Sus scrofa: one gene and its partners. The protein of the gene in region 3 purifies or fractionates together with the protein of the main gene of each other region. This does not show direct contact. Links are inferred from orthologs where the notes say so. Each region holds a gene or a part of one and is shown on either strand. Other genes may lie near its edges. The genes, in order: CRCP, POLR3D, POLR1C, POLR3F, POLR1E, POLR3G and POLR3K.

Region 1 (3,500 bases), on a different chromosome or scaffold from region 3:
GACTTCTTTAGCTTCTGTACTATTGTTTGTAAAGCTAGGCAGTCAAACTGAAGTCCTTTTTAGGATCATAAGCCTAGCTTGTCATCATGCTTTACTTAAATCTGCCAGGAATTCTTTCTGGAACGCCTTTTGATCTTAGTGGCCAGATTTCAGAGATTGTTAGGGGAAATGCCATAGGCTAGGACCCTGGACATCTTTAGCTGAGAAAGTGGTTTGTGATCGATGGCTCATGCCACCAAGTGAGTGTGGTTAGGTAACTTGACTGCCTGCAGGCTGCTTTTACAAAAGTGGTTGATTACATTATTTTTTTTGTTTGTTGACCTATTGAGAATTAGAGATGAGGCTAAGAAAACTGGCTTGTGATTGTGGATTTCATCATCTCTATGTTCGGCTGCCCAGGAGCACGTCAGAAACTGGGTTCGAAGCAGACCTTTGATGGGGTCGAGGGAGATTGTTTCCCAGCTGTCATTCACGGACTCCTGTTCTGCATTCTCCTGGCCAAGGCCATGCGGCCTGTGTTAGATTGTAGGTATTAGAGATGGGCAGGCCTGGCTTGGGATTCTGCCCTTTGCCAGGCTTGTCGTGAGGTTTAACAGAAATAATGAGCATGAAGTACTAGGTGCGACGCTGCACTGGGCACAGGAGCTCCCTAAAGGGCTGTTGTCAGCAGTGATAGTAGTGGGGATTAGCAAAAATATATAAAGCATTTGGCACATAGTGGGCGGTCATCCAGAGAGTTGTTGATACAGTTTATAAGTTACAGCTGTGTTGTTGTGAAATTACCAAAGTATATAAGATGCCACTTCGCTCCCCAGAGGTGGGTTTTCTTTGCATGTACAACATTCATGTGTGTATGTGGATGGGTAGAGAACTGTTAGGGATTGCTTTTTCTTTCAGGAAAAAATGTTAACCTGCAGCTTGCTTTTTTCACTGACCCTTGTGGAGCATTCACACTGGCTTACTCTGGAACTTGAGCTGGCTTCTCCCATTCATGAAGATGGAGGACCTGGACACCAGGGGTGGCTCAGGAGCCAGGCCCTGAGCCCCGGGCCTAGACCAGGAATAACATGGGTGAAGAGGGCGAGGCTGGGCCCCGCCATCGAGGCGTCTCTGTAACTCCTGGAGGGTTTTCTTTCCCTCTGCAGATGGTGGAGGAGAGCGAAGAACGGCTGACAGAGGAGCAGATCGAAGCTCTGCTCCACACCGTCACCAGCATCCTGCCTGCGGGGCCAGAGGCTGAGCAGAAGACACATACCAGCGATGACGTGACAATGGACGAAGAGGACCCGGCCTAGAAGAGCACCGTTGGCTCCAGGGTCTTGTGAAGTCGAAAGGCCCAGCAGCCATTTCCCAGACATTCAAAGGACTGTTTATTTGGTTTTACCTTCTGTCCCAACAGGCCTGATTTTGTGGCTGGTTTGGTAAACCACAAAAATAAGCCTTCCTCAGAAAGAAGCTAAAAAGAAATTCTTGTGCTTTGGAGAAGAAACCTGGTAAAGACAGGCTGAGGTAGTGGTCAGGGCAGAGAGCTAAAGAAAGGAGGACAGGGTCGAGGAGGACAAGGACGTGGAACCCCCTGTGGTAAAAATCCTTCCATGGTCTTTGGCGTGCTCGGGGCAAGGTCCTTGTGCATAGCTGGTGGAATACTTCCTTGTTGCCTTTGATGGGCTCTCGCCTAATTAATTCCATCTGCTTCCCTGGGCGGCTTCCCTGAAGGCCGCGGAGCACTGTTGGGATGAAAGCTGAGTTAGGAGAATCCCAGTAGAGGGCTAAAAACACGCAAAGCAGCAAATGGTTGCTCTGAGTTAAAATCAGCTACTGACCTTGGCTTACCTCAGAGGACTCCTTTCCTTGCGAGAAACAGAGATAAAGGAACAGCCTGGCCATCCCTTCCTCAGGCCCCTTTCCTCTGCTGGCGTGGGCCCTGTGAGCTGGCTCCCTAGTTAGTCCGAAGTGTTAGAGCGCCGGCTCCCTCCCGTTGAAAAGAGGCATCCAGGCCGAATGACCACGTCGCCTGCCTTTCTGCCCACCTTCGGTTTCCTGCCCCGTGACAGGCGCTGCTTGTTGAGGCCAGCAGGTGAGCTCCATGTGCACAATGGGTGCATTGTATCTTTTTAAAGGGCACAGTTAATGTCTCTCTTTTTGTGGACAGAATATGAAGAGGTAGAGGTTGATTAATAAGACTTTAATTTTGTTGGCTCTTGCAAGGTTGCATCAGTTTTTGAAAATTTAAAATGTTAGAATAATTACCATGTGAAGAACTTCTTAATGTTCATGCTTTGGAGAGTGTCGTAGCCCCAGACGTGTAGTTGCCCTTAGGTCCTAGGAATAGTGTTAAAAATTAATTCCCCCGTTCACTCTGCTCCCTATTTGGGGAAGAAAATGCCCATAGACATTAATTTTTCAAATTGGTACTCGTTTTGTTGTACGATTACATATTTTCCGTGCTTCTGTTAATTGGATTACTTCCCGCCTCTTGCTATTCCCAGGTTATTTCAGCCTCCCCACCACCCCTGCCAGCTGGCAGTTACGTTCATCTTAACCTTATCTTCTAAGGATGACTTGAGATCTGCTCACAGGCAATGTTGACATGAACAGGGCATTTATTTTTAAATCTTCTTCAAGTATCAGGAATTTTACCAGGAGCTATTGATTTGTCAAGACACGTATTTTGGTGCTCATGTCATTGTTGTTGCATTTTTGAGGTGCTTTTTTTCTTCATGGATTTAAGGCTTGATTAGTTGATGATAAATTGTTTCCAGGTGACTGCCAACTTGTGCTGTTTTTATCTTTCAAGAGTTTATTTTGCCTTGATTAGGAAAAAAAAGAAATCTGACTTAGAAAACATATATAAAATATATACATGTTAGTATTTTTCTTAAATTGAATCTATTTAGATCCGAGAATTTAGCCTCAGCTTCTGATTAGGTCAGACTTACTCTTTATAAGAAATATGGTCTGTGTAATATCCCCATCACATTAATAATCAATATTTCAGAAATAAAAAGTTGTAATTTACACAGGATCACATCTGGGAAGGAGAGCTGGGAGACTGGGAGACTTGCTTTTTTATTTTATATCCTTCTGTATGGTTTTAATGTTTGACCAGGTGATTGTTTTATTCTTTAAAAAGAAAAAATGTTTGTTTGCATGTTATCCTTGGTCTTTGTGAAAGTTAATAAATGCATTGTCCGTAGTTAAATTACGTTCCGAACGTGGAGGCTGACACCCAGTCCGGTCACTCTGGGAGACACAGCACTGAGGGGAGGTGATCTTTCGAGAAGGTGCTCCTGAGCTCTTGAAAAATGAAGTTGATTCCCAGTTAGTGGTTTATCCAGATAACCTCCTTGCCTCTTTTTGCTTCAGAGTTTTTGGATGACCCACTGCCAGCTCAGGGGACTTGCCATTTATTCAAGGTTCATTCCTGAAATAGTGGGTACCATTTTCCTAATCAGTTGTTGTGTAACCATATCAGCCCTCAAGAGTTTATACCCTAGTGA
Region 2 (3,007 bases), on a different chromosome or scaffold from region 3:
CAGCCCTATGATTTGAACACTTCCCTTCCTCCCCATGTTCCACACCAATTCCTTAACCATCCTCAATGTCTTAAAGAGCCTCAGAGAGACCTGGCGGGCCCTCACCTGCAGGAAAGAGCAGGCGGTTCCCATCGTCACGTCCAGAGTCACCTTGCCCAGGAGGAGCTGCACCTTCCCTGACTTGCGGATGAGCAGCTTGCCAACCTGGCCCTCTGTCAGGTCAGCCAGGGTACAGGTGTTCTCTGCCAGGCGGGCTTCCTATGAAGACAACCAGGGGATGGAAACCAGGTAAGGAGCCGTCTCTTCCATCCTTCAATAATGAACCCTTTCCTACAGGAAGGCAGCAGCAGCAAAGGTGAGAAGGAGCTCCCCAGGGAGTTCCTGTCATAACACAGCGGAAATGAATCTCACTGGTATCCATGAGGATGCAGGTTCAATCCCTGGCCTCACTCAGTGGGTTAAGGATCTGCCTTTGCCGTAAGCTGTGGTATATAGGTCACAGACATGGCTTGGATCTGGCGTGGCTGTGGCTAGACTGGCAGCTACAGTTCCGATTCAACCCCTAGCCTGGGAACCTCCATATGCTGCGGATGTGGCCCTAAAAAGACAAAAAAAGGGGGGGGGAGCTCCCCAAAGAGGGCCTTTTCCTGGAGCTGCCTGCCATTGGTCAAAAAACCAAACCCCACCCACAGCAAACACCAGCAAAGGAGCAAAATACCAGCAACTGCTGCAGCTGGGTGATAGTACACAAGAATTTACGTTCTCTCATTTGTGTATGTTCAAAATATTCCATTGTGAAAAGGAAACACATACAATTGGGGTTGAAGTGCAAAGCCCCAAGGCCCCTACATGCAGAAAGAACAAATGCATACTGTTCTCCCATTTCAGGACAGGAGGCACACCTTTGCTTCCCCTAAGGGTGGTTGTGTCCCCTCTCAGTGCCCCCGCATCTTCACAGAACTCATTCCCGAGCATACCCGGTCTTTCTCCTGCTTTATAACCACCATCTGGCCATCCTCGCCCTGCACCTCCGTCTTGACAGGCTTGATGTCCTGAGTGGGTGGCTGGCCAGGGAGCGAGTCTGGCAGCTGCAGGAACAGCAGCTCTTCCTCCTGTGTGAGGCTCAGCTCCCTGAGCAGCTCTGCCACAGACACGTCCTTCGGTAGGCTCGGGGTCTTCCGGGTGGCTCTGGGAGGAGCCTTCACCTTGGTCTCCTCCTCCTCATCTCGTGGTTCTTCTTTCACTGCCCAAGACAACAGAAATGGAAGTGCTATCAAGTGGCCATCACCCATGATCTCACTGCACCCACCCCTTCGCCTCGGTCTGCTCCACTGTCATTCAGCCAGGAAGCTGGAAGGAAACTCTGTTTACAGAGAAGGATCCAGGAGTTACATAAAAAGAGGTATCTGAGGCTGGGCCCACCAACTCCTGTTGCCAGGAACCTGCTGAGAGTGAGAATTTAGTGCCCGTGGCCAGGTCCTGTATTGACGGCTGGACTGCCTTATGAGTTGGTCTGGGAGGCTCATTCCCAGAGAGGGGGTGGGGCAGGCACAGAAAAGGAAAGGAGACATTAACTGACACAGAGTACCTTTCACAGCAGGCCCGTCCACATCCATGTCCTCTTCCTTGTGGCCAGGAAGCCAGGGTTTAACATCTGCTTCTTCATCCTCTTCCTTAAAAAGCCAGCCTGAGTGAGCCAGTGGCAGTTGCACAGGTGTATTTCGAGTGTCATTCCTTAGGCCAGGGTCATCGATGAACTGTCAAAGAGGAGCCAAGGGTCACACAGCCAGGCCCGCAAACACATTTGCCTGGAGTGCAGTCCACGTTCGCCCCTTTTTTCCCCCACCTTAGCCTTTTTTTTGGGGGGGGGGTCTTTTTGCCTTTTAGGGCCACACTTGTGGTATATGGAGGTTCCCAGGCTAGCGGTCCAATCGGAACTGTAGCCGAGGCCTACACCACAGCCACAGCAACGCAAGATCTGAGCTGCATTTGCAACCTACATCACAGCTCATGGCAATGTTGGATCCTTAACCCACTGAGCAAGGCCAGGGACCAATCCATGTCCTCATGATGCTATCCGGGTTCACTAACCACTAAGCCACGACTGAGAACTCCCCACCTTAGCCTTTTCCTAATTGAAGATTCCTGCTACTCACGGGGCTTTCAGGACATCAGAGCTCTCTTCTCCCCGACCTGGCTCCCCAGAAGCCCCTTCCCCCTAGCCTGATGGTACCTACATCATCCTTCTCCAGCATACGCAGGATCTGTTTTGTTTCTTCGTCCGTCTCCCTCTTCTCCTTTTTGATGTTGATGATGTGAGAGGGCCCAATGTCTGACATGTCCACGGTCTTATCCCAGTTCCCTGTGGGAAATGACGCAAGTAGTAAAGAAGGGGCCAACAGCAAGGAGGCATGTCCAACATGCCAACAGCAAGGCCAACATGTCCACGGTCTTATCCCAGTTCCCTGTGGGAAATGATGCAAGAAGTAAAGAAGAGGCCAACAGCAAGGAGAGCTAACTGGGAGCAAGCAGGGGAATGCCACTGCCCTTGCCCTCCTCGTGGGCAGCTGGACCTGAAAGCCACTGATTCCTTCCTCCCAGAGCCCCGGCAGCTTTGTACCCTTCTTCTTCATCATTTCAGCTGGGCCCTGCTCAAAGATGGAGTGGGACTGGATCACTTCTGGGCGCCCCCGGCCCCTTCCATGGCCCTCTCGCTGTCGGTCTCTATCCCTTTCACGCTTTTCCTTCTTGACTGCTACTTCTTCCTTGGGCCTGGAAAAGAGAAGGGGCAAAATAAAACCACTCACTTCCCTGCCTCCGAGAACTGGTCTTACTTTCCCACACCACTCCGTTCCAACTGTATGGAGAATTTAATGAGCCAACAAGTACATCATGAGAAGCAGAACCCCCAATCCTAAGTCGAGCATCTTTTCACTTGCTTGATGAGGTGAAGTCCTTTCAGTTTACCGTTGCTTTACCTTTTTGTTCGAGATCACGTATTAGAACT
Region 3 (4,114 bases):
CCCTGGCCTCAATCAGTGGATCAGGGATCCGGCATTGCTATGAGCTGTGGTGTAGACTGCTCGGATCCCAAGTTGCTGTGGCGGAGGCAGGCAGCTGTAGCTCTGAGAACAGCTGTAGCCTGGGAACTTCCATATGCTGAGGGTGAGGCCCTAAAAAGCACATAGAGAGGGAGGAAGTACATCTGCTTTAACTATTAAGGAACAAAATACATTCAAAGAATAGTACAAATATGCATTATGATTATTATCCTCTGAATTATTCTCCTGCCAACTTCCCCTTGCTAAAAGCAAAATGGACTTGGTCTGTTTTTCATTGGTATGATCACTTGCTAAACATCTTTACGCCAGGTTTAGGTCTTGAAAATGTTGCAGCTCATATTGAAACTTTAACAAAATTTACACAGGAGACTTTGAATGAAAGTCATTTTTTTAAAAAATAAAAAAAAAAAAGAAGGTAATGCTATTTCTTTACTCAACGATGAAATGACGTCAATGAGAAAAGCTATTCTACAAATCAGGATGGCCTCAGACATTATCACAACCTCCCAGAAAGGAACCTGTGCCATCATTAAGGTGGACTATGCTGGATGCTATTTCTATTTTATTTTATTTTTTGTCTTTTTTGCTATTTCTTGGGCCGCTCTCGCAGCATATGGAGGTTCCCAGGCTAGGGGTCTAATAGGAGCTGTAACTGCCAGCCTACACCACAGCCACAGCAACGCGGGATCCAAGCCGCATCTGTGACCTACACCACAGCTCATGGCAATGCCGGATCCTTAACCCACTGAGCAAGGCCAGGGATGGAACCCGCAACCTCATGGTTCCTAGTCAGATTCGTTAACCACTGCGCCACGATGGGAACTCCTGGATGCTATTTCTTTACCCAATGTTGAAATGACTTTAATGAGAAAAGCCATTCTACAAATCAGGATAGCCTTAGACATTATTACAGCCTCCCAGGAAGGAAACTGTGCCATCATTAAGGTGGAATCTTGTGCTTTTATTCTTGATGAATCTGCTAATGTATTTCAAGTGCTAAAACACAAACACAGATTGAGACCTTCAGTTGCCTTCTTCCAGATTTGGGAGGGCTTTTGGAGGAATGAAGGAATGGATCCCCAAAATCTTGGCTACAATCTCTTTTAATTGCTTACTGCTGCGTTTCTCTTGATTTCTTTAATAGATTTATCATCTGATGCGGAAGATCAACAGAAGCCACAAGGTTAACACTAACAAGCAGCATTGGCTTATTATTTTCCCAACAGAGGAGGGACAGGTGTTATGCTCCTTCTCTAGACAGACCTATGACCCATCTCAGGAGGAAGCAGCTAATGATCGGTCTCTCCCTATTTGCTCATTTAAGCATAATGGAGTAAAACAGCTGGAGGAAGGAATGATGGGGATAGAGTAGGATAATCACATAGTTTAGAAGTCCCACTAGGGTTTAAAGACAAAAAGGAAATGTTAAGGGGGTTTGAAGACTGCTGTAAGCCAACAACCGACCACTTAAGAATCCAGTAACTTAGCAACAATCTACACCACCTTGAAGGAAGACCAGGTGTATCTAAGCACCAGAAACAAGCCACAAGTCCTGATAGTTAAAACCCAAGACAAGAGATATGGGGTTTCAATCTTGTTACATGAAGTCAGAGTTATTGGTCCTTGAAGACTGGCATTGCTGCATGTAGACAAGGTGAAAGAGGGAAAAAACTAGGTGAAAGGGGAAATTATTCTGCAACCTGAAACGAATTACCACATTTTCGCATATGTTACCGCTTCTGCTAATATACCTATGATTTAAACAGCCCATGACACTCCCCCTTAGACCATATAGGGTCAAAGGAGGAACTGATGATGCAAGCCTGGACCATCTTACCCAAGAATGAGAAATAAGGTGGTCTTCTCCCCGCCCCACTTTCACCTTGATTATAAAAATGTAGCCCTCTTTGTTCTCTGGGTCGCACTCCCTTGCCTGCTCATTAGTATTTCTGACAAGCGTCCTATGCTAATAAATTCACTTATTGTGTATCGGTTTGCCTCACGCTGAATTCTTTTTCCCACGAGACAAAACCTGAGGCTCAGGAAGTCCTGACGATAGCAGGTGAGCGGTATCAATTAAGACAGTGGGTTTGAGTCCCCTCCTACGTCAGGGACCATGGGTTCAAGTTCCAATGGGGGTTTTGGCTGAGTTCGAGTCCCACCCGAAAGGGAGTGCAGCTTCAATCTTTATTGCTGTTAATCGCCCTTACCACAACTCACTAGAGTCGTGTTACCTGTACTCTTTTCCAAAAAGACCGAACCATCTCGTTAGCTTGTAGAACAAAGCAGAAATTGTGCACATCGAGTGCCTAACACATCCAGAGCGAACCCCCAAGGCAGTTTCCGAGGAACAGGATGTTCAGAGTGCAAGATCCGATCCTCATACCCTCTCTGAACACCTCCAGCTCTACCCACCTTCTCGAAGCGGTCCTGGTCCCAGGCATCATCATAGCCCGAATAGTTACCGGGAAAATCGGTAGTATGAACCTAGAGCAAAGAGAAACGAACCTGTTCGCGAAGGAGCAGCGAGGCCAAATTCATCCCCACTCCGACTCTAACTCATCCCTGCTCCGCTCTGATTTCTCCTCCCGAGGTCAAGTCCACAAGACTTACATTGCGAACCCCGAACTCCCCTAGAACCACGCGGCTCCGCATTTCCTCCACAGCCTGAGCCGCCGCCATCTTCAACTCCACCATGTGACTAGAGTACCAAGCCTGCGCGTGCGTTCTAGTCTCCCTGCCCCGTCTCCGTGGCAACACACCACCTCCCGGAATCCTAAATATCGCGAGAATCTGCCCCGCCTCCGTCCACGTCCTCAGATACCGGAAGTCAGTTTTAACCAAACATCCGGTTTTCTCCTTTTTGCGTTCCGGCCGATCCCACCTTTCTTTCTAGTCCCTGGACCTGTCCATCCGTCAGGCCCTCATCTCTCCCACTCCTCCTCAGCGCGCGGGACTAGCGCGGGCTTCAGCGACGGGAGCCCTCGAGGGACATGGCAACTCCGGCGGCGCCGGCCGGCGGCGCCCGAAATGGGGCTGGCCCGGAATGGGGAGGATTCGATGAAAACATCCAGGTAAGCGCCCCACGGCTCCGGCTGCCAGCAGCCCCACGGCCTGCAGCTGTCCTGAAGTGTCATGGGGACTCTTCCTTCGAGCCTTGGAAGTCTGCTCCGTTTGCAGAACTTTTTGTCTTCTTTGGGTCTTCGTGCACGTGAAAGGCAGTGGAACTAGTGCGGACCTAAAAGGTCCACACTAGTACCTCTGAGCCCCCTTGCTCTTGCTTTCCGCACAACTTAGAAGGTCGGGCACGGCCAGGGGCGAGGGTGGGATGGGGGGTAGGCGGGATTCACTGGCCAAAACCACACTGTGCGCGCAGCCTTGTTTTGGGGTGGAAAACACAAAGGAAATGGGCACTTTTGCAGCCTTTTGTGGCTTTGGTAGGAAAAGGACACGTATGGAAGACAGGGAGTAGGTTTCCCAGGCTGGAAAAGAGAGCCAAACAAAGGTTCTGAGAGCAGTTGAGGGGAGGGGAGTGGCATGGTCTATGGTAATTCTAAGCCGTATCTCCAGCAGTGAAAGGACAAAGCTCCAAGCTCTCCGGTGAACAGAGAAGGACATAACGGATGGAGCAGAAAGGTCCTCCACTGTGGGATCCGTTGTCTTCACAGGGTGGGGGCTCAGCTGTGATTGACATGGAGAACATGGATGATACTTCAGGTTCCAGCTTCGAGGATATGGGTGAGCTGCATCAGCGCCTGCGTGAGGAAGAAGTGGATGCTGATGCAGCTGCCGCTGAAGAAGAGGATGGGGAGTTTCTGGGCATGAAGGGCTTTAAGGGACAGCTGAGCCGGCAGGTGGCTGATCAGGTAAGCAAGACTGGCTCTCTGACAGGTGGAAAAGTATCCTGAGGCCTCTGGTTCTGAGTTGGTATTAGTGAAGTTCACCCCAGCTTGTCCAGTTAGAACCATGTAGAGATCCAACAAGAAATAAGCAAAAGGGCCTTAAAGCCAAGAGTCTCACGATACCCTCCCACCCCACCCGGTCTTCCTTGCTTCAGATGTGGCAGGCGGGGAAG
Region 4 (3,500 bases), on a different chromosome or scaffold from region 3:
TATTTAAAACAATATTAACAACAAAACTTTCAAATTGAAAGAGGTTTTATTAGGACTGTATGTAAGAACATACTGAAACACGACTTGCTTTGTGATCAGTCAGTGAGAGACCTTTCACTTTAGCATTAAGATAACCATGTTTGGAGTTCCTGTGTGGCTCAGTGGAAACAAATCTGACTAGCATCCATGAGGTCACAGGTTCGATCCCTGGCCTTGCTCAGTGGGTTAAGGATCTTGTGTGGCTGTGGCATAGGCCAGCAGCTACAGCTCCGATTCAACCCCTAGCCTGGGAACCTCCATATGCCACAGCCGCAGCCCTAAAAAGACACACAAGGAGTTCCCCTCATGGCTCAGCGGTTAGTGAACCTGACTGGCATTCATGAGGACACAGGTTCGATCCTGGCCTCACTTGGTGGGTTAAGGATCTGGCGTTGCCATGAGCTGTGATGCAGGTCTCAGACGCAGCTTGGATCCTATGTTGCTATGGCTGTGGTTAGACCCCTCTGATTAGACCCCTAGCCTGGGAACCTCCATGTGCCTCGGGTGCGGCCCTAAAAGACAAAAAAAAAAAAAAAAAAAAAGACAACACACATAAAGATAACCACGTTCATTTGCCCACTGGGGTGCTGGCAGGTAACAAGAGCCCAGGAAGGGAGATCTATACACACAAATGACTTAACTGACCAAACACCCCCTGTTTAGCTACCTTCTTTGTGTGAAAGGTGATAAATGGAATTCCCAACAGGTTAGCCATTTTTATGAGAGCTGAAACCAGGGCATAGAGAGCTTAGGCGTGTAGATCATAAAACACAGGCCAGCAGGCCAAGGATATAAATGCCATGAGGGCTGGGACAGTGCCTGCAGCACACGGGTGGTGCTCAGGAGCTCTCTGGGAAGGAACAAATGAAAACGTGGGTGGGCCAGGCCTCAGGAAAGCACATCACTTCTAGCTGTGAGTCCTGGCTGCTGTGTCTGAGCTGTATGCTCTCAGAGCGCCCTTAGCCTAAGTTCCCTCATGCTTAAAGGGAAATGACACTGCCAGCTGTGAGGGACCTGAGGGTTAAATGAGACCACAGAGACCTTCACGAACATGTCTGGCCCATGACAGGTTCTCAATAAATCTCAGTTCCCTCCCTACATAGGTTAAATGATTTGCTCCCATCAAAAAATTGTCCATTTTGTGTGATGATCATTATACAACTATAGATGTGATAAATTCATTTGAGTAATAAAAAAAAATAAGAAGTAAAAAAACCAAAAAACCAAAACCAAAACCAAACGAAACAAAACAAAAAAAATGTCCATTTTGGGACCAAGAACAGAAAACAAATTTCTTTAACCTGGTTGTTCTAAGAATGTATGGTGATCATTTGCTCATTAAAGGCCTGTCCTCAAGGTTACATGGAGGCTTCAGCAGCACTGGTTCAACCCTAGGTTTGAGAAAACTAGGGTGTGCTTGCTGGTACGTTATGCAGCTTTGCACTTGGTGGCAGTGAAGTGTACAGTGATGCCACTTGAACTCACCGGGCAGAGTCCACAGGGGGCCCGGACCAATCCCGTGGGAGAGATGATTGGGTTGACTGCCCTGTATAGTTTCATGTGCCCGTCCACACTGCCAACAGTGCCTTCTTTTGCAGCAATGATGGTCATCTCCACTTTCCCATCATAAATGAGCGTATTCAAGATGGTCTCAATATCCTCCATGGACAACTCTACCTAAAAAAGGGACATGTTAGAAAGGACCCAAGGACAAGGAGACACCCTTCTGGAGGGTGGTTAACTGAGCTCATGCTGAGCTTGACATTTGTTGACATCTTCACGCTCCTAAGTAAGATCCAGACATCTCGTAACATTTCTTTGGCAAGAATTTGATGGAGAGTTATAAAATGGTTGAGTATCAAATAGTCCAAATTCCTGGTTTTTTGTGAAAGAAACATCTGCAACCCAGGAAATGAAAATGACTTGTCCAAGTGACTGCTTCAGTTTCTTCTCTGATGTTGTCCATATGTATGGATGTTCAGAAGAGTGTGCTGACACCACCACTTGCATCTCATAAGGAGGAAAATACCAATTAGTGACAACTGATACGATGACTGATGTTTGGCACATATGTTGAAATGTCCCCCAGAGAGTCACAGACTTGCCAGAACAGACTTGAATCTGGCAGTGAAACGAACTGTCAGGCCTCCACTCTGCTACCCTGTATCCCAGGCTCAAGCACATACAGTTCACCAAGTGCCCGATGGCAATGACCGCCTTTGCCTAACTGGCTTAGAATGGTACTTTCTCAAAATGGGTTCTGCAGAATATACACAGGTATCACCTGAAAAAAGGGTCTGTGTCAGGTGTGTCTGGAATATACTGTAAACTATATCCCTGTGATGAAGAATAAGTATTTTGTTTTTGGTCTTTTTGCCTTTTCTAGGGCTGCTCCCACGGCATATGGAGGTTCCCAGGTTAGGTGTCCAATTGGAGCTGTAGCCACCGGCCTACGCCAGAGCCACAGCAACGCAGGATCTGAGCCGCATCTGCAACCTACACCAAAGCCCACAGCAATGCCGGATCCTTAACCCACTGAGCAAGGCCAGGGATCGAACCCGCAACCTCATGGTTCCTAGTCAGATTTGTTATCCACTGCACCATGACGGGAACTCCTGAAGAATAAGTTTTTAAGAACAAGATAAAATTAGAAACTGAGTTCTGACCTTACTGATCCCCAACTCACAGATATACTTCCACACTTCATGTGATGAAGCAAAAGAACTATTTCTTTGGATAACGGGATTCTGTTTGCTTTCTCTTGCCGTTTCTGCCTATAAAGATAGAAACATAAATTTCAGGAAGAATTCTGGTGTTTTCTAAATACAGTTTATATAGAGTGAAAGCAACAGAATGTATTTTGTTCAGTGAAAAAGAACAATCTCAATATTTTCAATTGAAACAAAATATGATGTACAAGATTAAACATTTCTTGTGAAGAAACTTAAAAAAAAAAAAAACTACAGTGATCATGTGATCTCAGTTATGCCTCACCTTGGTTTGCAAGAATTTGAAACACTGTTGGTTAAGCACTTCTACAAATTCAGATTCAAAATCCTGGTCACTGTACCAGGCTCCTCCAGTCACAGACCGGTCCGGCTGCAGGTTATAGAGCATATACACCTTCTTTTTAGAGGCCTAGGAAAAAACATGCAGAGCAGATGGTTCAGAGGTAACAACACAGGCTTCCAAAACTAAGACTTCAAAGCCTTCCAAACTTTATATTTCAGAACAGTTTTGGGCTTACAGAATTATTGCAAAGATGGTACAGACTGCCCACTGACCTTGTGCTCAGCTTCCCCTATTAGCAACATCTGACATTACTAGAGTACATTTGTTACAATTAATGAACCAATATTAATATGTCAGTACTAACTCTTAGGTCTATATTTTATTGAGATTTCCTTAGTTTTTCCCTAATGTCCTTTCTATGGTCCACGATGCTATCCAGAACACTACAT
Region 5 (3,993 bases), on a different chromosome or scaffold from region 3:
GAGAGCTCAGGTGTTATCTTTTTTTTTTTTTTTTTTTTGTCTTTTTGCCGTTTCTTGGGCCGCTCCAGTGGCATATGAAGGTTCCCAGGCTAGGGGTCTAATCGGAGTTGTAGCCACCGGCCTACGCCAGAGCCACAGCAACGCGGGATCCGAGCCGCGTCTGCAACCTACATCACAGCTCACGGCAACGCCGGATCCTTAACCCACTGAGCAAGGGCAGGGACGGAACCCGCAACCTCATGGTTCCTAGTCGGATTCGTTAACCACTGCGCCACGAAGGGAACTCCCAGGTGTTAATGTTTTTTAGATCATCTTGGAAGTACGTGCAGGGGGAGGGGAAGTCTCAAAAGAAGGCAATTTGGAAAACACAGATGAGTCAACCTGGTTCTTTCCCTTCAACAGTACCCTCCTTTGACTGAGAAAAACGGGTCCTAGCCTGGGCCCATGCTGAAAGATCTGCTTTAATCCTCCTTTTTGCCTAATAACTCCCCATGCGGTAGGGAGGGTTGAATCCGCGGGGACAAAGGACCATGCCTTCTGGTTCCCCCTTCTTGTCCACCCCAGAAGCTTTGAGTCTGCTGGGCCTCTCCCACTGGTCCATACTCTCAGAGTTGATTGAACCACAGGTGGTACTGTGCCAAGGTCCGAGAAGATGAGGTCATGTTACTGTTTACAGGATTGTGGATCACGTTTGGGCTTAAGGATTGATATCCAGGTGTGTGGATGGAGGTCCTGGAAAGCGGCCGGTCTCCGCCAGTCGCCACATTTAGTTAGCGTGCAAGGATTGCCTATCGAAAAATTCTAAATTTGAACTTGGACTTTCAGGCGTCAGTAAGACTTATTTGCCTCGGTGGTAGAGATAGACCATACCCTACCTAGACTCAGCCGCGAAGAAACCCGTCTATGCGCTAAAGCAAGACCTGAAGGTAGTGTGCTCCCTAGCGGCACACGACCTGTAAAGAGCAGGCCGAGTGCTGGGCCAATCACGTGTTGCGCCTTGCTGCGGAGGAAGGAGCGGGGCATAGGGAGCGCAGAGACCCCGCCTCTCCACGCGGAGGGGCGGGCGAAGAGTGAGAGGGGATGGCCCGCCTCAGAGCTCAGCGAGACAGCGCTTAGGGGCCGGGCCTGATGGGGGCGGAGCCACGCATCTCTGCGTGCGCAGGGCGGTGCCCGGAGAGGCCACGCCTCTTCCGCCCTGCCTTTTTTTTTTTTTTTTTTCCACCCGCGTGTACCTAGCGGACGCAGTTGTCTTAACTCCTGTGCTTGGCGGTAGAAGGGCGAGATGGCGGCGGAGGTGTTGCCGAGTGCAAGGTGGCTGTACTGTGGAGACCCCGAAGAGAGCCAGAGAGCTTTACTGGGTAAGGACTGCGGAGCCGGAGCAGAGCTCCCTGTAACTTCCTCCCTTTCTGTCTCGGTATCTACAGCCCTCGTCTTCCCTTACTGGTCCGTCCCCCTTCTCAGCTGGGCCAGATCCCTTCCAGGCTCTACTGCTACTTAGGGCTCGGCCAGGGTTCCTCTGTCATCTCACCGCGTTTCTGTCACCACCTTCCCGCTGAATGAGGCCTTACCAGTTACCCCTTCCCAGTACTCTAGACCCGGTCATCTCCTCACCCATCAAGTCTCAAACCTGCTCCATTTACTTTCCTCCATTGGGCAGAATTTTTCTTTATCTTTTTAGGTCTGGTCCAGGCCTCGTCAGTTAGTCCCATTTCCCCTAGTTATTCCCTCCCGTCGAAGCCCCTCTCTCCTCAGGCCTCCCCTTACCTTCCCATCCCCTCCCCATCCTCTTCCCACCTGGATCCGGATCTCCTTAAGCCCTCCTTTGGGGAGTTCCCATCATGGCTCAGTGGTTAACGAATCCGACTAGGAACCATGAGGTTGCGGGTTTGATTCCTGGCCTTGCTCATTGGGTTAAGGATCCGGCGTTGACGTGAGCTGTGGTGGTGGTCGGATCCCGCATTGCTGTGGTTCTGGCGTAGGCCGGTGGCTACTGCTCTGATTAGACCCCTAGCCTGGAAACCTCCATATGCCGCGAATTTGGCCCCAGAAAAGACAAAAAACAAACAAAAAACAAAAAAAAACCTCCTTTGGGCCAGGACCTGGGCCTCTTTGCCATCCCCATTCCTTCAGTCACTCCCTCTCATTGACTGTCTGTTTCCTCTGCATCATACTCTCTTGGTCCTTCTGCTCTCATGTCATTCCTGGGCTACAATCTTACAGTCCAGTTCTCCAATGGGAAGCTGCAGAATCCAGGCAACATGCGCTTCACCTTGTACAAGAGCAATGATTCCACAAACCCCAGGAAGAGGAGTCAGCGGATCCTGGTAAGTGCTGCAGTAGCTTGTTTTCTCCACTCTGCAGGCTTCAGGAGGCCCCTTGGGTGTGGAAGGGAGTGAGAGGAGAAAAGCAGGGGATAGCAGATTAGCCTTAAAGAACTTTGAGCCCCAGCAGGCTGGTGTGTGGGAGCAGGCTCCATTCAGTTTCACACTTATGGTGAAATGATAGCCCTTTATTCATTTGTTCATTCAGCAACCATCTATTGAACCCCCACTGTGGCTCTGGGCCGTAAGCAGCTAGGGAGACAACTAAGTCAGACATGGCCCCACCCGGAGGGAGCTCATAATCTAGAGCAGCATTTCTCAATCTCAGCACGACTGACCTTCTGACCCAGATAATTCTTTGTTGTGGGGACTGTTCTGCACATCCCTGGTGTTTAGCAGCTTCCCTGGTCTCTACCCAAATATACCTAGCACCTCCTCGTTGTGACAATAGCATGTCAGACATTCCCAGATGTCCCCATAGGGGTATTTCCCTGGGTTGAGAACCACTGATCTAGAGAAGTGAGAACTGGATGTAGGGGACACTTACACATAAGGAGACAAAGTTCAGGATTCCAGGGAGGGAGGGTACAGAGCAGGGCAAAGTGCGCTCTGCTTGCCAGAATGCCTTCTTGTGGCAGGATGCATTGGAGCCCTGAAGGATGGAGGAAGGTTTGACAGCTGAGGCTAATATTCCAAGTGAAGAGGACACCAAGGACAAACATGGGGAAGCAGGAAAACTTGGCTATGATTGAGGAGTATATTAGCCATTTCCATGGTCCTGGGAGCATGTAAGGAACAGTCATGGAAGAGGTGGCAAAGAGGTTCAAGAAGGGGTTAGACTTTGGGGTTGCCTGCAGGATCATTTTGTTGCATGCCTCTACGTGCTCAGCTACTCTCCCAAGCTCCACCAAGAACTTTCTGGCCTAGCTGGAAGCCAGCAATACCTGGGGCTTCCCTTTCAAAAATCCTTTTGCTTTTTCCCCAGGGACACCCAAAATTCACTTAAAGATAGTGGAGCTGGATCATCTCAAAGAGGCTCTCCCTGTTCTAATCTACTGTGGTTTGGAGTCTAAAGCTTCTGTATCTGAGGTTGCTCAGCTGTGGGAAGTCAAGATATTTATTATCTTTCAGCATTGGTTGTAATGGAACTTTCCCCCTCTCCATTTTAGGCAGCTGAAACAGACAGACTTTCCTATGTGGGAAACAATTTTGGGACTGGAGCCCTCAAATGCAACACTCTCTGCAGGTAGGGACAGGGTAAAGGGATTGCGGGGAGTAGAGGGTGGTGGCGGCAGCCCTGGCACTGCTCTTCTCTGCCTTTATTTTAGGGGCAATGGGGGAAATCTAGAGAGGTTTCTCAAGTTTCTGTGTTCCCAGACCCAGTGGCCTTCACACCAGCATGTAGACATTCCTGAAAATGAAAAGTGACTTAGATTTGTTTAATTTCCTAAAAATCTCATTTATTTACAATCTTGATGAGTTTTTTTAACTGAGAGCTAATTGACATATGACATTGGTTTCAGGTGTATAACAATGATTCAATATATGTACATATTGCAAAATGGCAACATGGTAAGTCTAGCTAACATCCATACTTAATTACAAAATTTTTTCAACCAGAAGTTTATACTTTTTGATCACCTTCATTAATTTTCACCACATCGTTAACTTA
Region 6 (3,500 bases), on a different chromosome or scaffold from region 3:
AAATTATATTCTACAAAAGCTAAAACAAAAACAAAACACCTACACAGACAAGAGTCTCTCCAGACTTTTATATCTTCTTAAAAATTAATGTAATACTTTGGGCAACACAATAGGAAAATTAAAGGATAATGTAATAGAAATGATTTATTTCAAAATGGCATGATCTTTCTATGTAATTTCACCATTCTTTCATTTTTTCTATTTTAGTCTTTATCTTACATTTTTCAACATAGTAGGGAATAATTTTAAAAAATGATGAAATAATGTCTTTGTTAATAAAACAGAAAAAATATTTCAAGATGCAAGAAAAATAAGATCACTAAGATTCCAAACTATATTTTAGATTTATGAAAGACTCCATTGGGCCAATATGGTAATGCTAAGATAAAATGAGTTTTCCTCTTGTTTTAAAGTAAATTCTCTTAGTTCTTTGGAAGATTTCTAAATAAGAACTATGAACATCAATCATTACATATAGTAAGAACCGCTCAAAAATAAATTCAAAAATTAAAATGAGATCTTATAGACCTTTATAGTATATTAAGAGTTAATACACCAAACTCCATTTTTTCAAAAATACTATCTTGTGGTAATAATGGAGGTAAATGTATGATTTCCACTAAGCTTTAGAAGTGCTGAAAATGGCTTACAGAACCATCACCATTGTCACTCCTGTTTCTAACTAAGAGGACCCCAGTGGTTCAGGAACCTGAGCTGGGAACCAGTGCACCAGATGCTCTCTGTGTACCTTTGCAGCTAAAATCCATTAAGAAAATAATATTCATTGATGTTTTTTCTTTATTATAAAAATAACAAATTTTACTGTAGAGAAAATACCAACCACTGCTGTAATTCTACTTGAAAACACTACAAACAAACCTTGAAGACATCACAACAGGAAATATGTTTATTTTGTGCCCTCAGTTCTTTGCAACACACCTTAATGCCCTGAGCGACCAGCCACCAGGTTATCAGGACAAGACCTCTTCCCACCATACTGTCTAAGTCTCTAGGGATTTAGTTCTTTACATCAGTGTATACTTAACAGTATATATTATATTAACCTGTATTCATACATATATATTGTATTTTTCTTTAAAATCTTTATTTTCAATCATAAATAGAACGTGTTTACATTCCATTTGGAAAGAGAGATAAACATGAGTATATTCAAAGAGAATTTATTTGTATCAATTTGGAAAAGTCTATGCAAGTTTTCCTCTGAAGGAAACAGTAGCAAAAGATTCCTTTATTTATTTATTTATTTATTTATTTATTTATTTATTTTGCTTTTTAGGGCCACACTAGCAGCATATGGAAGTTTCCAAACTAGGGGTCAAATTGGAGCTATGGCTGCCGGCCTACACCACAGCCACAGCAATGCGGGATCTGAACTGTGTCTGTGACCTTCACCACAGCTCATGGCAACCCTGGATCCTTAACCCACTGAGTGAGGCCAGGGATCGAACCTGCATCCTCATGGATACTAGTCAGGTTTGTTAACTGCTAAGCCACAAAGGAACTCCCAAAAGATACCTTATATTTTTAAATATTTTATTATGCAGTTACCAAAGATAAAGAGCCTCTTGATCCAGGTATAAACCAGCTATTCCCAGAAACAAGCAACAAAATTATGTTCTAAATGTCCCAATCTGAAAGACTCAACATAAATGCTTTCATGGTATGATAAACTTTCAAATGAGACATGAGTTTTAATAACAACCACATTTAGTTAAGTAAGTACATCCCATAGTCTAGAGAAGAGACTAACTTTTAGAAGACTAAAGTATATCCTACATTATTATTTTTTCCAGTAATAGTGATTATTTATTTAGTTCACTTATCATTAGTTAAAGCTTTAATTTCATTTTCAAACTCGAATAGATAAAAGCATAGAACATAATCTTAAAAGTAAAAAAATTCCGTACTTTTGAGGTTAAAATATCTAACCATTTATTATATAACTTTAAGCAGCTATGTTTTGAAAAATTAAATGAACTTGTCTAAAATGCTTCTTAGAATTATAAACACAGGTAATATTACTACATAAGACTTCCTTTTTGATTCTTATCCAATTCTAAGCCTTTTAGAGAGAGGGAAAATGGTATGCATTTTTAATACTAATGGAATGAGATGATACGATATGAATTTCTCATGTTTTAATGATGTTGTTTTGAGAGCTCAAGGATGATATCGACCTCTCTAATTTCAACATTCAAGGACAGGAACTGAAAATCAATACTCAACCGAGCTAAGTACTCAGGAATGGGTTCCTTTCCTCTAAGACTACTTCCCACTTCTAGTGAGACTGCTAAGACTTCTCCAACGGCAATTTTTCCTCTCTGTCCTTGGCATAACCAATTAATACATATTTTGTATTTTACATCACATATATGAATGGTATGCCAAAATATGGTCAAGGCTTTTAAAATTTTTAACAAAAATTTAATCAGAGAACCACTTAAAAAGTGATGTACAAGGGCAGTAATCGTAGTATTATATATGAGCAAAAAACTAGAAACCACCTTAAATCTAATAGTAGGGAACTAGTTACAATTAACATTATATCCACATAATGGAATACCACATAGCCATTAAAAATCATGTTTTCCAAGACACTAGGAATGTCTTCCTAGTGTTATTATTATTATTAAATGCTAATAATATGCTATTGAGTGAAAAAGGAAAATACAAAGCAATGTGAATCCAATTTTGTAAAAGGAACATACATACAGAAGAAAAATCTAGAATATATAATAATACATTAATAAGTTGTTCTCTAAACATAAGGAGTATAGATAATTTTTACTTTCTTTTGAGTTCCCGTCATGGCTCAGCAGAAAAGATTCTGACTAGCATCCATGAGGACACACGTTCAATCCCTGGCCTTTCTCAATGGGTCAGGAATCTGGCGTTGTCATGAGCTGTGGTAAAGGTCACAGATGTGGCTCAGATCCCGCTTTGCTGTGGCTGTTGCTGTGGCTGTGGCAAAGGCGGGCGGCTACAGCTCCAATTCGACCCCTAGCCTGGGAACCTCCATATGTCATGGGTGTGGCCCTAAAAAGACAAAAAAAAAATTTTTTTTACTTTCTTAGTATTTTTTTTTCATAAGTTTCACTGAACACATAAAACATCTATTGTGAAAGGTAATTTTAAAAATAAAATATCAAGAAGTTTAAAAAACATTTTCTGTTAAATCAACATTAAATATGCTTTCTCAATGTAGTTGATAACTTCTGACTGAATCAAATCAATCAGCATTAAACATCATACATCTTATACTGAAACTCTGTTTCATCTGCAGACAGTGAACCACATAATCAAAGAGTTCAATACACACCTTGTTTTTCTTCAGGTGTTTCTACAAAATAAGGCATTCTTTTCATTGTTTCTCTCAACTCCTGTTTTAAGGCCAGTACATAATCTTCACCCTCTCCTGTTTTCAGTGGCACTGGTTTATAATCTGTATCCTGTTTAAATGAAGAGGCAAATTTTAAAAA
Region 7 (4,277 bases), on a different chromosome or scaffold from region 3:
GTCAAAGCCCCATTTTCTTGGGTGTGCCAACATATAAATAAATGTTTACGAGCGTCAGCTGGTGGCGAGAGAAAGCTCACTGCCCACTAAACGGGAAAGATGGATAACAGGACCCTAAATAAGACGCACTTGGTGTGGCCACTGCCCCCAAACACAAGTTCTCCCTGGACGTCAGCAAATTCATCCACTGCCTGGGCGATGGGGGCCATCTCCTGGCCCCCCGGCCGGGCCACTCTGAGAAGGCTGGCTTTCTGCCACACCGGCAAAGATGCTCAGAACCCGCAGTTCCCTTCCAGCTGGGAATCCGCCCTGGGGAATGAGGTGAGCAGATGCTGGGCAGCGGGGCCACCCGGCCCTAGTCCCTCCAGCGGTGTCCACACTGAGCATTGCAGCACTTGTAGAAGGTGGTCATGGGCTCGTCGGCAGAGCGGGTCTGGAGCTGCATGAAATAGGCCCGAGGATGCTCACACTTGGGACACGGCTCTGGCGTGAGAAAAACAAGGGACCCACGGTTACTTCAAAAAGGATGCCCAGTGTGGCACAGAGGCTGAAGAATCCGACTGCAGCGGCCTGGGTTGCGGCTGCGGCGCGGACCAAGTCCCTGGCCGGGGAACTTGTGGCATGTGGAGGTAGCCCAGAAAGGTCACGGTCATAAGGCAGTAAGCCACCTCAAGATTCGAAATCAGGTCTGAACAGCTCCAAAGCTTGTGCCGACACTGGTTTTGGAACAAAGAAAGTATCAAGGAAGGAGTTCCTGTTGTGGCGCAGCGGAAACGAATCCGACTAGGAACCATGAGGTTGTGGGTTCAATCCCTGGTCTCACTCAGTGGGTAAAGGATCTGGCCTTGCTGTGGCTGGGGTGGAGGCCAGCGGCTGCAGCTCTGATTAGACCCCTAGCCTGGGAACCTCCATATGCCGTGGGTGGGGCCCTAAAAAGCAAAAAACAAACAAACCAAAAAAACCACCACATGAATAAATAAAAATTTCTAAGAAATTATTAAGGAAGAAAATATAGACTTCCTCTTCGCAGAAGCACAAGCAGACTGCCACGGAGGGGCAGAGTCAGCAGCCCCGTACCATCCACAGCTCTGCCCGGGAACAGGCCTCTCCCTCTCACCTGCGGTGGAGTCGACGTTCTCCCAGGCAGCTGCTCCACCAAGCACGTCATCCACTTCTTTCAGCTTTGGGTACTTCCGATTCGTTACCTAACAAACAACAGCCACTCTTCAGTCTCTCCAACTGACTGAACCGCACACCCCAGGATCACCTAACCACACCTGCCCGCAGGTGTCTGGCTTCTTCCACCCTTCAACCCGGACGGGAGGGGTACTGGACAGGCAGAGGCCCTGCTCCATCAGAACTTAGAGGACCCATGATTGGACTGCCCCAAGAGAAGGTCTCTGCAAGGACTGGACAAAGCAAGAGGAGCAAGAGAAGCATGGCTCGGGTATGGCCCTCCTCTTCTCCCACACCCCCTAAGGCTGGGTAGCCCGAGACGAGGCCCCAGAGAACTGAGGCCAAAGAAGGGCAATCTCAGCCGGGGAGCCGCCCCCCCCCCCCAGGCTCCGGGCAGAGCTTTCTAAGCACTTGCCAGGTTCTACCAGCCGTCCTTGACCTGTCGGGGTAGGTAAGAGTCCACCCTCCGCGTCGTTTCAGACCCTAAACTCCCACAACACGGCCACATGGCAGGACACTATACAAATCTATACAAATACTAAGGAGAAAGTAGCACTTGGGAGTTCCCTGCTGGCTCAGCGGGTTACCGCCCTGGTTCTGTCCCGGTTCTGTCGCTGCTGTGGTGCAGGTTTGCAGGTGTGGAAAGCGACATAAGCAAAAGAAATCTTGGTGACTCCATTTTGCTGAAATGCCTTCCTGCAACCCCCCCCCCTTCCCTCTTCTCCCAGTAACAGTTTGTTTCAAATTAGCCAACTGGGAAGAACGTGCACCCTGACCTGACCCACGGGAAGGGGACAGGGTACATCCCCTGTGTTAGGGATAAACAGGGGAGGGTCCTTTGTTCGGGGCACGCGCACTTTTTGGGGTGCCCAGCGCCCTTCTGCAGCAGTAAAGAGCCTTGTCGAGATCTCCCCGTGTTCACGTGCCTCATTTTTCGACAATGACGATCCGAGCCACGTCCCCAGCACAAGGAACTTGTGCATGCCAGGGTGCCGGGGGCGCGGCCAAAACAAAAACTAAACAAACAAAAAGAAAGAAAGAAAAGAAAGTATACTGGAAGGCAGTGAGCCCTATATGAAAAATAAAACTAGGGAACGGAAAGGCCGCATTTATATAAACAATCCCTTAGGTAAATACAGGCAGGAGTGACAGGAACGAGTGAGTCCCTAGGGGAAGAGCGACTAGAACAGAAAACTCCTGCACAGACCCTGGAAGCAGCGCCTTGGGCAAGACCGGGGCGCCTCCGAGAGGCTGGCGGTGCGGGCAAGAGGCTGCTGGGACGCGAAACCCAAGCAGAGGACGGAGCTAGGGGAGGTGAGGGTCAGGGCCTGGCGCGCTCCGCGAGAACGACGGCTGCGGCCCTGCGTGCCGGGAGGCCGGCGCGGACCCACCTTGCGGGTGATGTTGTGCACATAGGGGCAGGTGTTGCAGGCGAAGCGGTGGCAGCGCTGACCCTCCTCCACAATCAGCCCGTTCCCGCAGCCTGGGCAGAAGAGCAGCATCACGACAGCCCAGCCTACGCTCCCTGCAGCTCCCTGGCCGTGGACTCCGGGGGCTTCCGGGCGCCCCGAACTCCCCATTGGTCCCGGCGGCCGCCTCTCAGCAATCAGCCCACCAGTAGGCACGTCGGCTCCGCACTCCCAGTGTGCACTGCGGCAGGCTGGCTCCCAAAGCATCATTTCTCATTGGTCCTGGCGGTAGCCCCGCCCCTCGACCAAAGGCCGGGCCGTGGGTGGCTTTCCCCGCGGGAAGCCCGGGAATCCCGGGCCCGGGTCGCGAGAGGCGGTGTGGGGGCGGAACCCGCGGGCTGCGAGGCGCCCTGGAGGTGGCGGGGGCCTCGGGACGGCCAGAGCCGCAGGAGGACGAGGAGGATGAGGAAGAGGCACTGCCGCACTCCGAGGCGGTGGACGTTTTCCAAGAGGGTCTGGCCATGGTGGTGCAGGACCCGCTGCTCTGCGACCTTCCGATCCAGGTGCGCATGGGTCGGGGCCTCTTCCCCCGCTCCGGAGCCCAGCGTCAGGGAGAGGACCGATTCTGGGGTACCGATGATGGCAGCGGCCCGGAGACCTCCAGAAGCGGCCTCAGGGCGTAAACGAGGGTCTAGGCTCCGACTGGGCCTGGGAGGCGAGCGAGGCACTGGTCTCCGGCGCGGCATTTACGAAGGGTTCCCTGGTAGTCTAGCGGTTAAGAACTCCGCCATTGTCACTGCTGTGGCTCGGGTGCTGCTGGGCGTGCGTTCGACTGGCAGAGGAACTCTCGCATGCTGCGGGCATGGCCAAAAAAAAAATAAAAAAGGAGCGCCAAAAACCCGCTAGTCAGGACACATGACATTTCAGTATAGTGTTTTGGTTGGTTTAGGAGGTTTTTTGTTGTTTCGGCTTTTTGTTTTTGTCTTTTTAGGGCCGCACCTGGGGCATATGGAAATTCCCAGGCTAGGGCTGGAATCCGCTGGCCTACACCACAGCCACAGCAACTCAGGATCCAGAGCGGCATCTGCGACCTTCAACACAGCTCATGGGCAACGCAGGATCCTTGACCCACTGAGTGGGGCCAGGGATGGAAACTCCAGTACAGTGTTTTTAAAACTCAACATTGGTTTATAAAGACCTAGGGTAAACAAAATGATATCATGTCAGATAAAAAGACCAGTATTAAAGATTTCTGGAGTTCCCATCATGGCTCAGTGGTTAACGAATCCGACTAGGAACCATGAAGTTGCAGGTTCGACCCCTCCCTGGCCTTGCTCAGTGGGTGAAGGATCTGGCGTTGCTGTGAACTGTGGTGTAGGCTAGTGGCTACAGCTCCGATTAGACCCCTAGCCTTGGAACCTTCATATGCCGCCAGTGCAGCCCTAAAAAACCAAAAAAATGAAAAATAATAAAGATTTCTCCATTCTCCTCAGGCTTCAGTATGACCTGGCACACTCCTGTTTTTAAATCTTTGTATTTTGCCCATCATGAAAATGTTAAATTAGTTTGTTTTCTTGATAGTGGTATTCGTCTTCTGTTGCCCCGGTAAATGTTGCACCCCTGCCCCAGCCTTGCCTGGGGCCCCAGGGCCTGAGGGTTTTTTTGGGGGCAGGGGGAGCCCTCCCAGGCTGG

Evidence for each region.
Region 1: the proteins of POLR1C (region 3) and CRCP purify together in Homo sapiens (affinity purification with mass spectrometry; 5 studies listed by BioGRID and IntAct, counting the BioPlex papers as one, with this or other methods). This does not show direct contact. The link is inferred for Sus scrofa from reciprocal best matches to the Homo sapiens genes POLR1C and CRCP.
Region 2: the proteins of POLR1C (region 3) and POLR3D purify together in Homo sapiens (affinity purification with mass spectrometry; 6 studies listed by BioGRID and IntAct, counting the BioPlex papers as one, with this or other methods). This does not show direct contact. The link is inferred for Sus scrofa from reciprocal best matches to the Homo sapiens genes POLR1C and POLR3D.
Region 4: the proteins of POLR1C (region 3) and POLR3F purify together in Homo sapiens (affinity purification with mass spectrometry; 4 studies listed by BioGRID and IntAct, counting the BioPlex papers as one, with this or other methods). This does not show direct contact. The link is inferred for Sus scrofa from reciprocal best matches to the Homo sapiens genes POLR1C and POLR3F.
Region 5: the proteins of POLR1C (region 3) and POLR1E purify together in Homo sapiens (affinity purification with mass spectrometry; 5 studies listed by BioGRID and IntAct, counting the BioPlex papers as one, with this or other methods). This does not show direct contact. The link is inferred for Sus scrofa from reciprocal best matches to the Homo sapiens genes POLR1C and POLR1E.
Region 6: the proteins of POLR1C (region 3) and POLR3G purify together in Homo sapiens (affinity purification with mass spectrometry; 4 studies listed by BioGRID and IntAct, counting the BioPlex papers as one, with this or other methods). This does not show direct contact. The link is inferred for Sus scrofa from reciprocal best matches to the Homo sapiens genes POLR1C and POLR3G.
Region 7: the proteins of POLR1C (region 3) and POLR3K purify together in Homo sapiens (affinity purification with mass spectrometry; 4 studies listed by BioGRID and IntAct, counting the BioPlex papers as one, with this or other methods). This does not show direct contact. The link is inferred for Sus scrofa from reciprocal best matches to the Homo sapiens genes POLR1C and POLR3K.

The regions. Positions count from the first base shown.
Region 1 is NC_010445.4:16,584,006-16,587,505, reverse strand, and holds the end of CRCP (DNA-directed RNA polymerase III subunit RPC9), read left to right. Parts: intron 1-1,145; coding exon 1,146-1,295; 3' UTR 1,296-3,202; downstream 3,203-3,500. UniProt on the Homo sapiens protein: DNA-dependent RNA polymerase catalyzes the transcription of DNA into RNA using the four ribonucleoside triphosphates as substrates.
Region 2 is NC_010456.5:6,524,013-6,527,019, reverse strand, and holds part of POLR3D (DNA-directed RNA polymerase III subunit RPC4), read right to left. Parts: intron 2,773-3,007; coding exon 2,238-2,772; intron 1,758-2,237; coding exon 1,589-1,757; intron 1,244-1,588; coding exon 978-1,243; intron 259-977; coding exon 106-258; intron 1-105. UniProt on the Homo sapiens protein: DNA-dependent RNA polymerase catalyzes the transcription of DNA into RNA using the four ribonucleoside triphosphates as substrates.
Region 3 is NC_010449.5:38,510,207-38,514,320, reverse strand, and holds the start of POLR1C (DNA-directed RNA polymerases I and III subunit RPAC1), read right to left. Parts: upstream 2,801-4,114; 5' UTR 2,737-2,800; coding exon 2,653-2,736; exon of another isoform or gene 2,581-2,652; coding exon of another isoform or gene 2,548-2,580; intron 2,527-2,547; coding exon 2,455-2,526; intron 1-2,454. Other genes in the region: protein YIPF3, read left to right, coding at 3,033-3,113, 3,708-3,905, 4,097-4,114. UniProt on the Homo sapiens protein: DNA-dependent RNA polymerase catalyzes the transcription of DNA into RNA using the four ribonucleoside triphosphates as substrates.
Region 4 is NC_010459.5:26,732,839-26,736,338, reverse strand, and holds part of POLR3F (DNA-directed RNA polymerase III subunit RPC6), read right to left. Parts: intron 3,178-3,500; coding exon 3,034-3,177; intron 2,814-3,033; coding exon 2,706-2,813; intron 1,717-2,705; coding exon 1,525-1,716; intron 1-1,524. UniProt on the Homo sapiens protein: DNA-dependent RNA polymerase catalyzes the transcription of DNA into RNA using the four ribonucleoside triphosphates as substrates.
Region 5 is NC_010443.5:238,196,466-238,200,458, forward strand, and holds the start of POLR1E (DNA-directed RNA polymerase I subunit RPA49), read left to right. Parts: upstream 1-1,193; 5' UTR 1,194-1,282; coding exon 1,283-1,358; intron 1,359-2,220; coding exon 2,221-2,324; intron 2,325-3,490; coding exon 3,491-3,567; intron 3,568-3,993. UniProt on the Homo sapiens protein: Component of RNA polymerase I (Pol I), a DNA-dependent RNA polymerase which synthesizes ribosomal RNA precursors using the four ribonucleoside triphosphates as substrates.
Region 6 is NC_010444.4:97,661,756-97,665,255, reverse strand, and holds part of POLR3G (DNA-directed RNA polymerase III subunit RPC7), read right to left. Parts: intron 3,471-3,500; coding exon 3,341-3,470; intron 1-3,340. UniProt on the Homo sapiens protein: DNA-dependent RNA polymerase catalyzes the transcription of DNA into RNA using the four ribonucleoside triphosphates as substrates.
Region 7 is NC_010445.4:41,570,252-41,574,528, reverse strand, and holds the start of POLR3K (DNA-directed RNA polymerase III subunit RPC10), read right to left. Parts: upstream 2,801-4,277; 5' UTR 2,757-2,800; coding exon 2,568-2,756; intron 1,206-2,567; coding exon 1,118-1,205; intron 484-1,117; coding exon 356-483; 3' UTR 1-355. UniProt on the Homo sapiens protein: Core component of RNA polymerase III (Pol III) which synthesizes small non-coding RNAs using the four ribonucleoside triphosphates as substrates. Can mediate Pol I proofreading of the nascent RNA transcript.